Anolis sagrei: one gene and its partner. The protein of the gene in region 1 purifies or fractionates together with the protein of each later gene. This does not show direct contact. Links are inferred from orthologs where the notes say so. Each region holds a gene or a part of one and is shown in the gene's direction. Other genes may lie near its edges.

The links.
Region 2: the proteins of PPP2R2B (region 1) and CDCA4 purify together in Homo sapiens (affinity purification with mass spectrometry; 4 studies listed by BioGRID and IntAct, with this or other methods). This does not show direct contact. The link is inferred for Anolis sagrei from reciprocal best matches to the Homo sapiens genes PPP2R2B and CDCA4.

The regions. Positions count from the first base shown.
Region 1 is NC_090022.1:98,183,555-98,190,687, reverse strand, and holds the start of PPP2R2B (serine/threonine-protein phosphatase 2A 55 kDa regulatory subunit B beta isoform), read left to right. Parts: upstream 1-4,114; 5' UTR 4,115-4,394; coding exon 4,395-4,845; exon of another isoform or gene 4,846-5,089; coding exon of another isoform or gene 5,090-5,159; intron 5,160-5,271; exon of another isoform or gene 5,272-5,469; coding exon of another isoform or gene 5,470-5,536; intron 5,537-7,133. UniProt on the Homo sapiens protein: The B regulatory subunit might modulate substrate selectivity and catalytic activity, and might also direct the localization of the catalytic enzyme to a particular subcellular compartment.
Region 2 is NC_090021.1:328,645,947-328,653,012, reverse strand, and holds the start of CDCA4 (cell division cycle-associated protein 4), read left to right. Parts: upstream 1-4,048; 5' UTR 4,049-4,153; intron 4,154-7,066. UniProt on the Homo sapiens protein: May participate in the regulation of cell proliferation through the E2F/RB pathway. May be involved in molecular regulation of hematopoietic stem cells and progenitor cell lineage commitment and differentiation.

The DNA.
Region 1 (7,133 bases):
TTAATGTGTAATTAACAAATTTTGGGAAATATAGAAAGAATAAAGCCTATGAAATTCTTAAATAATAGCAGAATGTTAACATGTGCAAAGAACAAATGAGACAGAACATTTTAGTAGGGACTTTGGCAGGCATGTAGCCGGGGGGGGGGGGGGGGGGGCTTGGGGGGCTTCAGCCCCCCCCCCCCCCGAAATTCTCATGGTGGTTCGCGAAAAGCCCTTACTGGTGCATTATTTAAACTGTTATGTTTATTCATATCATGATCTGATCACCATACTCAATATATCCCATATGCATGGGGGTATTGGGGTAATGATACAAAAGGTTTGCTAGGCTAGACCCTCTTTCACTCAGACTCAGCCCCCCCCAAAAACTCAGCCCCCCCCGAACCCCCCCCCTGAAATGTTTTACCCCCCCCCCCCCCCCCCCGAAATAAAATCCTGGCTATGGGCCTGGACTTTGGGTTCCTTTCTTTTCTGAGTGGTGGAATGTTTTAAGTTGGCAATGGAAGACCATATCGTCCAAGTAATCATGTTCATTTGTTGCCTTTGTATGCAAGCTTTCCTTCAGGTCATTCAAGGTGATAAAAGTGCTCCATCGGAGAGAAAAAAATAATCCAAATGCCAGTGTCATGTAATACCTTTATTAGAACCAACCAAAGCACTGTATACTCAGCAAATATGTCAAATTTACAATAATCTTTTTCAAAATGAAGGTTAAGCAGAGAAAAGTGAAGTACAGCAAAATGTTTGGTGGGCAGAATGAAAAAGCAGTCCTCAAGGACTAGCTGCATCCCGTGAAAAGACAAAGCTAGAGAAGAGTTGTGTTTTTATAGCTATTTGTAAATCTAGAGATAGGCCAGATAGGGAGTAAGATACAGAACTAGCCAGTGCTTGTCCTCAGGCAAGACCATCCATGCTCCAATTTCCTTTCCCAGCACATCCCAGAATAGATTTCCTAACTTGCATATTAGGGGACATGTTCTTTGTAAGTAGGCATGCCTTCAGGTTTTTAATTTCCATTTATGTCATGCCTTTCCTGCTGCTTGATCCTCCCTGATTTATCCTCACAGCCTTGTGAGATAAGTCAGGCTGACAGATAGTGACAGATAGTCTGTGGTCACTTGTTGAGCCTCAGGACAGAATGGGAGTCTGAACCAGTTTTCTCAATCCTAGTCCAACACTGTAAGCACTATGCCACTCTGTCTCTAGTTAAGTAACAGTCTGGTGTATAATTACTAGGTTGTCATCCAGCTAAAAGAACCCGAGAGGAAGGTTACCATTGTTGGGGTACCAGTGGTATGGCATAAAACCATGTGCTCTCCATAAGGTAAAGGTTTCCCCTGGCATTAAGTCTAGTCATGTCTGACTCTGGAGGGTGGTGCTCATCTCCATTTCGAAGCTGAAGAGCTGGAATTGTCCATCGACACCTCCAAGGTCATGTGGACAGCATAATTGCATGGAGCCCCATTACCTTCTCACCAGAGCGGTACCTATTGATCAACTCACATTCACATGTTTTTGAACTACTAGGTAGGCAGAAGCTGGGCCTAACAGCAGGAGCTCACCCCGCTCCCTGTCAACAAGTTCAGCAGCTCAGCAGCTTAATTTGCTGTGCCACCAGCACAGTGCTCTCAGTAGGAGGTTTCTATTTATCTTGGCTGGTCCAGCTTGTGTCAGGTATCAATTACCAAATGGGTACCATTTTCTTTCCCTCCAATCTTGACATTAAAATAAAATGAGATTCAAAATAGCAGAGTGGTACTTCATTTTTACTTCTATTTTCAAGCACGGTAATGTCTATGGCCGACACTACTTTCCAATCTTCCAGGCATCAATTTTCAAAGCTGTATCGGATTCAGAGGGAGTCTTATATTTTTAAATCAGACCACTTGTGGGACTTGTATTTGTGATTTGTGATTAGATGTGTGACTGATGTTAGTCTTGTGGTTGTGTGCCTTTTCCCTGATTCAACTATGACTCTATAATGAAGGCATTGCAGGGTTTTCTTGTCAAGATTTGTTGGGCTGGAGCACCACAGGCTTCCTTGGAGGGGAGTGTGGCCTGCCCAAGGTCACCCATTCAGCAGATCTCCGTGGCTTGGGGGGGGGGGGGGATTTGAATCCTGGCCTCCAGAGGAGCAGCCTAAGGTTCAAAGCACTATACCAAGTTGATTCTCTTAGAACAATGGTTCCCAACCTGTGGTCCATGGACCACCAGTGGTCCCCAAGGACTAAAATATAGTCTGTGACCTCACTGTTACTACACCGTTGCAACAAGAGCAACTGGTCTCGCAAAACCCTCTCAGAGTGCCTACACACAAAACGCATGACAACAAGCCTACTGACTGATGCTTCTTCCCCTCCACCCCCACACAGCGGAGCCATTCCATGTGGCACCTGGAAGTGGGGGTGCCTTGGTCTCTTTGTTTTTCAACCTGTTAATTGATGTGCTGAATCAGAAATTGCATTAGATAGACCACATCAGCTCTAGATTATTAAATATGGTTTTTTGTAGACAAGCAGATGGTGGCTACTGGATGGCATATGTTCTGTATCAGAAACTAGAACTGATGTGGTCTATCCAATGCAATTTTCTGAATCAGCACCCCAAATGACCAAATCAAATCTAAAGTTGACCAAAGACTGATTCAAAACCCTTTTGGTAGTAATGTTGAAGAGTAGTCCCTGGTCAAGTGGCCCCTGGTCAAGAGGTCCTTGGTCAAAATGGTCCCTGGACAAGGGGTCTCCAGTCAAGAAGTCCCTGGTCAAAGTAGACCCTGGTCAAGAAGTCCCCGGTCAAAGTGGTCCCTGGTTGAGAGGTCCCTGGTCAAAGTGGTCCCTGGTCAAAGAGATCCCTGGTCAAAAGGTCCCTAGTCAAGAGGTCCCTGGTCAAAGGGGTCCCTGGTCAAGAGGTCCCTGGTCAAGAGGTCCCTGGTTAAGAGGTCCCTGGTCAAGAAGTCCTTGGTCAAAGTGGTCTTTGGTCAAAGTGGTCCCTGTTCAAGAAGTCCCTGGTCAAGAGGTTCCTGGTCAAACTGGTCCCTGGTCAAGAGGTCCCTGGTCAAAGAGATCCCCGGTGAAGAGGTCCCTGGTGAAGAGGTCCCTGGTCAAGTGGTCCCTGGTCAAAGTGGTCCTTGGTCAAGAAGTCCCTAGTCAAGGGGTCCCTGGTCAAAGTGGTCCCTGGTCAAGAGGTCCCTGGTCAAAGTGGTCCCTGGTCAAAGTGGTCCCTGGTCAAAGAGATCCCTGGTCAAGTGGTCCCTGATCAAAGTGGTCCCTTGTCAAGAAGTCCTTGGTCAAAGTGGTTCCTGGTCAAGAGGTCCTTGGTCAAAGGAATCCCTGGTCAAGACGTCCCTAGTCAAGAGGTCCTGGTCAAAGTGGTCCTTGGTCAAGGAATGGTTGGAAACCACCATCTTTAGAGTTTTGTGTCCTGCTCAAGTACTTACCTGGGATATGGGACGGCTTTTTCAAACACTTGGGCTTTTTAAAACCCTTTCCTCTTCAAGTTCTTCTGCGTCCAGGTAAAAATGGGGTTTTTTACTGTCTATATGACAATAAAAGCAGCCTAAGGATGGAAGCTCCTCAGGCAGGCAACAAGCGTCCCTCCCACCCCCAAAGGGCCCCGCTGCCCAAATTCCAACGCATTGAGATCAATACCGGACACCACTGCGCTCCGGGGATGGATGGGAAAGGGGGGGGGGGAGGCGAGAGAAAGGACGGGTAGAGGACAGGGGGGGGGGGGAGAGAAAGCCCCTTTGGGAGAGCGCTGTCCTTCCTTCCCTCCCTCCGTCCCTGCCGCGCCCCCGGAGCTCCCTTTCCTCTGGACTGGAGCCTCCTTCCCTGGCTGCGCCCCGCAGCCCGCCGCCCCCTCCTCCTAGGCCTGGCCTTGCCCAAACGGCCATTCCCCTCGCTCCGTCCCTCTCCCGGGGAGGCAACGCTGAGAAGCGCTACCGCAGTGCCGCCGTTGCTGCCGCTGCCGGGGCCGAGTCTCGGGCCTGCCGCTGCCGCCGTTGCCGCGGTTGGCCGAAGCCGAGCTGTATGGGAGGAGCCTCGGGGTGTGAATGCACCAGCAGGCTCCAGCAGAGCGCCGCTGCCGCTGCCGCAACTAAGCCCTAGGACTCGCTCTTTTGCAGCAGCAGCAGAAGGAGCAGCAGCGGCAGCGCGCGCGCTCGGTGGCAGGTCCCGGCGCGTTGCAGCAGTCAGCCGCAGCCAAGCCTCGCCTGCCGCAGAGAGAGAGAGAGAGAGAGAAGGAGAGAGAGAGACCTCTTCCTCCTCCTCCTCCTCCTCCTCCGCCTGCCTTTCCCGCTCTCCTTCCGCACCGCGGGGAGGAAAGAAGCAAGGAAGGAAGGAAGGAAGGAAGGAGACTGGGGAGAGCATCTTGCGGGGCCGGGGGCGTCTCGCATGCCGAGGAGAGCAGCGGCGGCGGCGGGGCCAGCGGGGGAACCTGTTGAGGAGGGAGAAGAGGAGGAGGAGGAGGAAGGCGCCCGGCTGCGGCAGCACTGCGCCCTGGGAGCCGGGATTGCAGCAGCCACCTCGCTGGGCATCGGGACCTGCGCCGCCGCCGCCGCCTTGCGAGGGAGAGGGAAAGGAGCCCGAGGAGGCGGAGGCAAAGGAAGAGGAAGCGTGTGCCTGGGCCTGGCCCTGCTCGCGCCCCGCCCGCGCGCCTGCCCCAAGCACCCGAGGGGCCCGTGGCCCTCCTCCTCGCCCTCCTCCTCGCCCTCCTCCCCCTCCGCCCTGCGCCTCCCCAGCATCATCATCCCCGGCTGGAGGCGGAGGCGGGCGGCACCTTCGCGCCAGCGCCAGGAAGAGAAAGCCACTTGGACCTTTGCCACCGCCGCAGGAGGAGGAGGAGGTGAAAGCTCGCTTGCTTGCCCTTTTCAAAGCGTAACCTCTTCTTTATTCCTTCCCTCCCCCCCTCCTTCGGTTTGATTTTTTTCCTCCTCTCCGCCCCCCTTTTTGCAGAGAGGCAGGAGGAGCATGTTGGCCTCCCGGCTGCTCCCCCGCTTCGCGCCTCTCCGCTGATCTCGGTGGTGGCGGGGCGATGATGGATACTTGCCTGCTTGCTCTCCCTTCCCACAAAAGTAAGCCCGCTGTCAATGGAGGAGGACATTGATACCCGCAAGATAAACAACAGTTTCCTGCGCGATCACAGCTATGCAACCGAAGGTAACACAAGGCCCGGCGGGGTAGGATTCAGACAGAGAGAGAGAGAGAGAAGGGGAAAGGGAGGCGGGGGGGGGGGGGGCGAGGAAGGCAGGCAGGCAGGCAGGCGGGGGAGGGCAAGCAGGAATTCAGGGGCTGCACCCTTCGGTTCCGCTGCGGGAGGCGCCTCCGCCGGCGGCAATGGGTTGTGGTCCGGGCTGCGCGGCGCGGCGTGGGGCGGGTTGGGGCGGCCGAGCCTCGGGTGAAGCGTGGGCTGCTTCGGGGACCCGCCTCGGAGCCCGGGCCGCCAAGGCGCGCGCGCCATAATGCAGTGATGCCAGGAAAGCCGGAGACTCCCGCAGAAGAAGCAGGAGGAGGAGAAGCAGCAGCAGCAGCAGCAGGTGGATCAGGGCGGAAGGGCCTTCAGTGGGGCCAGGAGGTTAAGGATTCCCCCCCCCCCCTCAACACAGCTTCATTGGGTTGGATTCTGGTCCCATTTGGCAACCTCCCTTGTGAACTAGCCATTGGCTTCCCTTTCCTTTGCTCAGGGGAAGAGGTGGCTTAGAACAGCAGGGCTTACGGCAGTGCGTTTTAGGGTGGGGGGGGGGGGGTAAGCTGGGCAGTGCAATAATCCGTCCGTCCTTCCCCAAAGGATGGATCCTGATGATGACAGTCCCGACCTGCCCCTTGGCTGGGCTATTCCTTTGGCCACTGATCTCCCCGTGACTCTCTCGCCCCCTTCCCTCTCTCCAGCTTCATGATTGCTTAGGGAAGCAGGGCTTATGGCAGTTGACTGGGGAGGGGAAGAGAGGGATCCGCATTAGGAAAGCTCCACGATGCCACGATTCTCCAAGGCCTTGGATGGATCCTGATGATGACGGACCCAACTTGCCCCTTGGCTGGGCTACTCCTTTGAGCTCCGAACCCCCACTCCCCGTGGCTCAATCACCCCCAGCCCTTCCCAGCAATGGGCCAACAGCTACCCTTGTGAACCAGCCACTGGCTGCATTAGGAAAGCTCCACAATGCAACGATCCTCCAAGGCCTTGGATGGATCTTGATGATGACGGACCCAACTTGCCCCTTGGCTGGGCTATTCCTTTGAGTTCCGAACCCCCACTCCCCGTGGCTCAATCACCCCCATCCCTCCCCAGCAATGGGCCATCAGCTTCCCTTGTGAACCAGCCACTGGCTTCCTTTGGCTCCCTCTCCATTCCTCAGGGAAAGTGTGAAATCAATTCATGGTGGCTTAGAGAAGCTGAGCTTATAGCATCTGACTGGAGCGGGGGGGGGGGGGGGGGAGCTGCATTATGAAAGCTTCACAATGCCACAATCCTCCCAGCCCATTCCAAAGGCCTTGGATGGATCCTGATCATGACAGGCCCAAGCTCTACGCAGTGAGATGGCAAGACTGCGGTTAAGACAGGTGGTGACAGGCTTCTTGTGGGCAGGAATGCAGCAATAATCTTGCAGCAGTCCATTTTGCTGAATCAACTGGGAGCGGAAATGAAAAGGGGGGGGGGGGGGGAGATGCAAAAGTGAGCAAGTGGCTGAGAAATGACCTGAAGAGGGGAAAGACTTCTCTGTGGTGTATGCGTGTGGAGAGGACGGAAGAGAAGGAGGACAAGAAGGAGTAGTGGCCCAGGGCATGTTCATCATAGCACATGACGCTTGGCTTCTTCTCCTCCCTCCCTCCCTCCTGCAATCCATCTTCTGCAAGCCAGGACTGAGAATATTTGGCCTTAGCTTAAGAGATAAAATGGAGAGGCAGAATGACTTGGGAGGAAATGGCCAGATATAGGTGGAACAGGGTGGAGTGGATCTGTGTGCATTTTCTGTGTTTGTCTAAGCAACAGAACTAGATTGTTTGAAGACAAAACATGGTTGTCCTTGTGTTCCAGTAGCCATAGAAATGAGGAAGCCTTTCATGTGGAAACCAGGCCCATCAACTGGGGTGGATATAACAATCTGGTTTTTTATGCTTATTCACATTGTGTTC
Region 2 (7,066 bases), on another chromosome or scaffold:
GCATTTCTTGTCAGCCCAATGTTGCTTCTTACCCATTAACTTCTGTGGAATTACCTTGGCTTTTGCGGAACACCTCTGGCTCCTTTGAGACTTGATTCTGATCCTGATTTTACCTGTTTGCCATGGACTCTTGTTTGACATTGCTAAGGGATTATGCTTCATGCTATTTGCCTGTGGATCTTGTGAAGCTTGTCTTTGCATTTAAGACTCTGTTTTGCCTATTGAATTTTTGCATATTTATTTCTCTGTTTTGATTTTGCTTTTTCTCAATAAACTACAAAACCTACAGCTTTGGTGTATGGTGGTGTCTTGAGCAAGGTGAAAACTACCCTAAGTTGCGACAGTTGTACTGTATTTTTTGGGCTTGACCTCATGTTAGCCACCATGAGTCCCCATTGGGGAGATGGTGGGGGGTATAAATAAAGATGATGATGATGATTATTATTATTATTATGGTGTATTGGGCATCGAGTCATTGCCTCTGTAAACCGCCCTGAGTCGCCTGAGGGCTGAGAAGGGCGGTATACAAAGACAGCAAATAAATAAACAAATAACACAGTCCCGAACTGATTTTTACATGCTCCCAACAGGTTTAATCTCCAATTTGAGAGAAAAACTGAATGAGTGTGCCACGAAATGATGCAGGTCTAAAACGTGTGTCACCAACATGAAATGTTTGGAAATCTCTGCTTTATGGGATTGATTGAATGAAGCTGTAGTGTGAGTTTGGAAATATTGTAACAGCACCCCATTGATGGCCAATACATACTGAAATACTGTATCTTTTGGTGTTTACAGATTCCCCTTTTTCTCCTTTCTTCCCTTCTTTCTATCGCGTTGAGCTTGTTTGCCTTTCCTGGGTGCTTAGATAGAAATCTCTGGCCGTTTCCTCCTGCCTTTCTGTTTCCAGTTTTTGAACCTCCTCTTCCCTTCCCAAAGAAAGCTGCAAGTCAGGAGCTGCAAGGCTGCTGCCTCCCGCTGCCTTTCTCTCCTCTTTTCTCCTTGTCGCCTGGAGCAAACCTGCCTTTCCCCTCCTCCCTCCTGATCAGAAAAGGCAGCCAGCCAACTCTGGAAAGCGCCCAAGGCCTTTCAAGCCAAGCTCAGCAGAAGAAGCAGCCAAAGGATTGGCAAAGGTGCAAGAACAGGCCAGGCAAGCTGGAAGGGAAAGGGAGAAGAAGAGAAGAAATGCAGCAGAACCACCCAAGAACAGCGGAAGGAAAGTTGCTCCTAACTGCCATCAAGTCACCTTCGACTTATGGCAAGCTTATGAATGAGACCTCCATGTCCCCAAATCATAGTATCATAGTTGGAAGAGACTTCGAGGGCCATCAAGTCCAACCCCCTGCCAAGAAGCAGGAAAAAAAATTAAAATTTTTATTAAGAGTTTTCTACATGGGGGATACATCCATGTTATGAGAATCGTCGACACAACAATTACGTAAAAGCAAATGATAAGGATTGGGGTGGGGGAGGGGGTAGAGGTGAGTGAAGGGAGTACAGGGAGTAGGAAATGGGTCGGGGAGAGTTCGTGATCTTAATTACTGATTTTGCCCCATATAACATTGTTAGTGTTAGTATTATTTTCTAGTCTTGACTCTCACATGTCTAGGTCTGGTTGACATTGAAGTATTTTTTGATTGGAGACCAATCTGTCCTGGCTATGCCAGTCGTCTGTTTATATTCCAGGTGCTGTGTTAGAGTGTCCATATTTATTATGTCTAGGAGTTTAAACATCCATTCTTCCACCGTTGGTTTCTCTTTATTCTTCCATTTTCTTGCTAGTACAATTCTTGCAGCCATTGCCATATGGAAGAATTTGTTGTTGTTCATTCATTCAGTCATCTCCGACTCTTCGTGACCTCATGGACCAGCCCACGCCAGAGCTCCCTGTCGGCCGTCACCACCACCAGCTTCTTCAAGGTCAGTTCAGTCTCTTCAAGGATGCCATCCATCCATCTTGCCCTTGGTCGGCCCCTCTTCCTTTTACCTTCCACTTTCCCCAGCATAATTGTCTTCTCCAGGCTTTGCTATCTCCTCATGATGTGGCCAAAGTACTTCAACTTTGTCTCTAGTATCCTTCCTTCCAGTGAGCAGCCGGGCTTTATTTCCTGGAGGATGGACTGGTTGGATCTTCTCGCAGTCCAAGGCACTCTCAGAGCTTTCCTCCAACACCACAGCTCAAAAGCATCTTCCTTCGCTCAGCCTTCCCTAAGGTCCAGCTCTCACATCCGTAGGTTACTACAGGGAATACCATGGCTTTGACTAGACGGATCTTTGTTGCCAGTCTGATGTCTCTACTCTTTACTATTTTATTGAGACTGGACATTGCTCTCCTCCCAAGAAGTAAGCGTCTTCTGATTTCCTGGCCACAGTCTGCATTTGCAGTAATCTTTGCACCTAGAAATACAAAGTCTGTCACGGCCTCCACATTTTCTCCCTCTATTTTCCAGTTGTCAATCATTCTTGTTGCCATGATCTTGGTTTTTTTGACGTTTAGCTGCAACCCAGCTTTTGTGCTTTCTTCTTTCACCTTGATTAGAAGGCTCTTCAGCTCCTCCTCGCTTTCGGCCATCAGAGTGGTGTCATCTGCATATCTGAGGTTGTTAATGTTTCTTCCAGCAATTTTCACCCCAGCTTTGCATTCATCCAGCCCCGCACATCGCATGATGTGTTCTGCATACAAGTTAAAAAGGTTGGGTGAGAGTATGCAGCCTTGCCGTACGCCTTTCCCAATCTTGAACCAGTCTGTTGTTCCGTGGTCAGTTCTGACTGTTGCTACTTGGTCCTTGTACAGATTCCTCAGGAGAGAGACAAGGTGGCTTGGTATGCCCATCCCACCAAGAACTTGCCACAATTTATTATGATCCACACAGTCAAAGGCTTTAGAGTAGTCAATGAAGCAGAAATAGAGTTATGTATACTTTTGTATAATTGTTAATTGCTATGCTATGTATTACCTTGAGTGACATTACTTTATTTATCGTGTCATCAGCAACCATACCATTGTATTACAATTCTAACAGAGCAAAACAAACACACAGATTAAAAAGAAAAAGAAAAAAACACACAGATTTTGCAAACTTGGTAGTTGGTTAAATGTCCTTTGACCAGGATCTGGCCACTTGGAGTGCCTCTGGTGTTGCCGCAAGAAGGTCCTCCATTGTGCATATGGCAGGGCTCAGGGTGCATTGCAGCAGGTGGTCAGTGGTTTGCTCTTCTCCGCACTCGCATGACGAGGTTTCCACCCTGTAGCCCCATTTCTTAAGATTGGCTCTGCATCTCGTGGTGCCAGAGCGCAGTCTGTTCAGTGCCTTCCAAGTCACCCAGTCTTCTGAGTGCCCAGGGGGGAGTCTCTCATCTGGTATCACCCATGAATTGAGGTGCTGAGTTTGGGCCTGCCACTTTTGGACTCTCGCTTGCTGGGGTGTTCCAGCGAGTGTCTCTGTAGATCTAAGAAAACTATGTCTTGATTTAAGTCGTTGACATTACTGGCAGAATATAATAATATGTGTTAACAACAATAATAATGTTTCAAAATCCATTAAAACAGAAACAATGAGTGGAGAATACTATAATTAAAACAAACAAACCATCTGGTCCACGAGCAAAGCTAAAGCATTAGGTAACCATGCAAAACGTATGGGTTTCAATGGCTTCTCTGTGTAGTTTATATGTGTAGTTTCAATGGCTTCTCTGTGTAGTTTATAGTTTCTCATAAGCTTTGGCAGGCATTTGAAACTTGCCTTTCCTGGCGCCAGCCACTTACAGCGAAGGGGCGGGGCTAATCCAGCAACCGCCAATAGGAAGCCGAGAGCGGAGCAATGAATGGCGGGAGGGGCTAGTAACCATAGCAACTCTGAAGGCACATTCGATCACAGAGAGAAAACCCCTCCTTTCCTTGCCCACCAATAGGAAGCGAAGGTTCAGTCCCTCCTCCAATGAAAAGAGAGAGAGGGATGAGGGGCGTGGCCACAGGCGGCAGCGGGCTCCTTTGTGGAGTGTGACAATGAGGTGGCGGGGAGGGGCGCGCGAGTGAGCGGAGGGGGCGTGGCCTCTGCGGCCGTTGGCCCCGCCCCTTTTCTCTCAGGCGCGGAGGAGAGCGTTGAGGCGAGCGGGCGGGCGAGCGAGCGCCGTGGCTTCGTCCGGGCGGAAGGTAAGCCCATCGGGGCCGCGGGCGCGCCAGGGAGCGGAGGGGGCCTTTCCGGCGTGACGCTCGGAAGCTAGGCCTCGGCGTGGCGGCAGGGAAGCCGCGGCGGAGCCCTCCGAAGAAGAGGAGCCCGCCAAGGGTCACTGGGCCGCGGCTCCAAAATGGCGGCGGAGGAGGAGCAGGCTCTGGAGTATCACACAGGCCCACGCTGAAGCCTCTCTTTTCAGAAGGAAGTGGATCAGGAGCGAGCCAGGAGGGGCTTTGTAGTCTTTGAAAGCCACATTTTACAGCAGGCCTGGGCAAACTTGGTCCCTCCTTCCAGGTGTTTTGGACTACAACTCCCACAATTCCTAACAGCCTCAGGTCCTTTCCTTTACCCCCTCAGCCGCTTATGGAAGCAAACTTAACCAATTTGAACAAATAATACAGAATGGAAGGGTTGTAGAAGAGCATGAAAATTTGAGAGAAAGAACTAGGTCAGTGTTTCTCAACCTGGGGGTCGCGAGGGGGTGTCAGAGGGGTCACCAAAGACCATAAGAAAACACAGTATTTTCTGATGGTCATGGGGATTCCATGTGGGAAGTTTGAGCCAATTCTATCGTTGGTGGAGTTCAGAATGTTCTTTGATTGTAATGAACTATAAATCCCAGCAACTACAACTCCCAAATGTCAAGATCTATTTCCCCCAGACGCCACCAGTGTTCACATTTGGGCATATTGAGTATTCGTGCCAAGTTTGGTCCAGATCCACCAATGCATGAGTCCACACTGCTCTCTGGATATAGGTGAACTACAACTCCCAAACTCAAGGTCAATGACCATCAAACCCTTCCAGTGTTTTCCATTGGTCATGGGAGCCAAGTTTGGTTCAAATCCATTGCTGGTGGAGTTCAGAATGCTCTTTGATAAGTGAACTATAAATCCCAGCAACTACAACTCCCAAATTACAAAATCAATCCTCCTCCAACCCCACTAGCATTCACATTTGAGTGTATTGGGTATTTGTGCCCAGTTTGGTCCAGTGAATGAAAATGCATCCTGCATATCAGATATTTACATTATATATTTACATTATATTATAACTGTAGTAAAATGACTGTTATGAAGTAGCAATGAAAACAATATTATGGTTGGGGGTCACCACCACATGAGGGACTGTATTAAGGGGTCACGGCATTAGGAAGGTTGAGAACCACTGAACTAGTAAAATATATAAGATCATAATTGAAATAAAGGAAGGAAACACAAAAAACAACACCCTCAAAGAGGTTTGGGAAGAAGATTTAGGGATAAAAATAAACGAAACAGAGTGGCAACAATTATGGAGACAAAGACATTTAAAAGAATTATCAATACGGGTTCAAGAAAATTATTATAATAAGCTAATATGGAAGTGGTATCTTGACACCAGTAAAAATAGAATATATAAATAAAAGTAATTCAAAAATTGTTGGAGAGGATGTCAAGAACCAGGAACATACATACATATGTGGTAGCAATGTAAATATGTAAGTAATGTTTGGGAGAAAGTATTTAGAGAAATAAGAGAGATAATGTATATGAAAATTGAGAAAAGTCCTAGTATAGCTTTATTATCATTATATAACAATAAACAATTGAAAAAGGAGGATAAAGAAGTGATAACAAACTTATTAACAATAGCAAGACTGCTCATAGCAAGGAACTGGAAAAAAGAAATAAATATACAAATAGAGGAGTGGTACAAGGAAGCATGGAAACTGGCAATAAACGATAAGCTGACATGTATATTAAAAGTTAAAAAAAGGTATATGGAAAAAAAGTGATTTTGATGTTGTATGGGGAAAATTTGTTGTAAATGGTTTAAAAAATTTACCGCCACAAGAAGAAATGAGATTTTGGACAAATGATATGTAAAAGTTGTGGCTTGAGTTGGGGGGAGGGAAGCACAGTGGTGGGAAAAAAAGGGGGGAAATGCTTAAGCAGAATAAGACTATATGTTAAAGAGTGTGCTGAATAATATGTAACTGCTATAAACAAATGTATAACAAATGTAATAACTATGATAAAACAATAAAAATATATTTTTTTTAAAAAAGGAATTGTGGGAGTTGAAGTCCAAAACACCTGGAGGGAGGGACCAAGTTTGTCCAGGCCCTTTATACAGTCTTTAATGGGTTTTAGGGAATTTCAACAAATAATAATAATATATATACACATACTTCTATTTAAAACTAGCCATCCCCTGCCATATATATATATGGATGCTCTGTGCATAATGAGTACCTTAAAAACAAAAGAACCAATGAACAAAATCACATCAAAATTGGCAACAAAACATCTTGCAACACAAGGAGTGCCCATCACTCAAAAAATTATGATTTTGTCATTTGGGAGTTGTACTTGCTGGGATTTATAGTTCACATACAATCAAAGAGCGTTCTGAACTCCACCAATGATGGAATTTAACCAAATGTGGCACACAGAACTCCCATGACCAACAGAAAACACTAGAAGGATTTGGTGGGCATTGACCTTGAGTTTGGGAGTTGTAGTTCATCTATATCCAGAGAGCACAGTGGACTCAAACAATGATGGGTATGGACCAAACTTGGCACGAATATTCCATATGCCCAAATACGAACACAGATGAGGTTTGGGGAAAATAGACCTTGACATTTGGGAGTTGTATTTAGTGGGATTTATAGTTCATCTACAATCAAAGAGCATTCTGAACGCCACCAATGATAGAATTGGGGCAAACTTCCCACACAGAACCCCCATGGCCAACAGAAAATACTTAAGGCCAACCAGTCCAGCTGTCTTCACCAGGGCAAGAAAATGTAATCAAAGCCCTTCTGACAAAGAGCCACCAATCCATAGATATAGATAGATAGATAGATAAATATGAGACGCACACACATAGTATCATAGATTTGA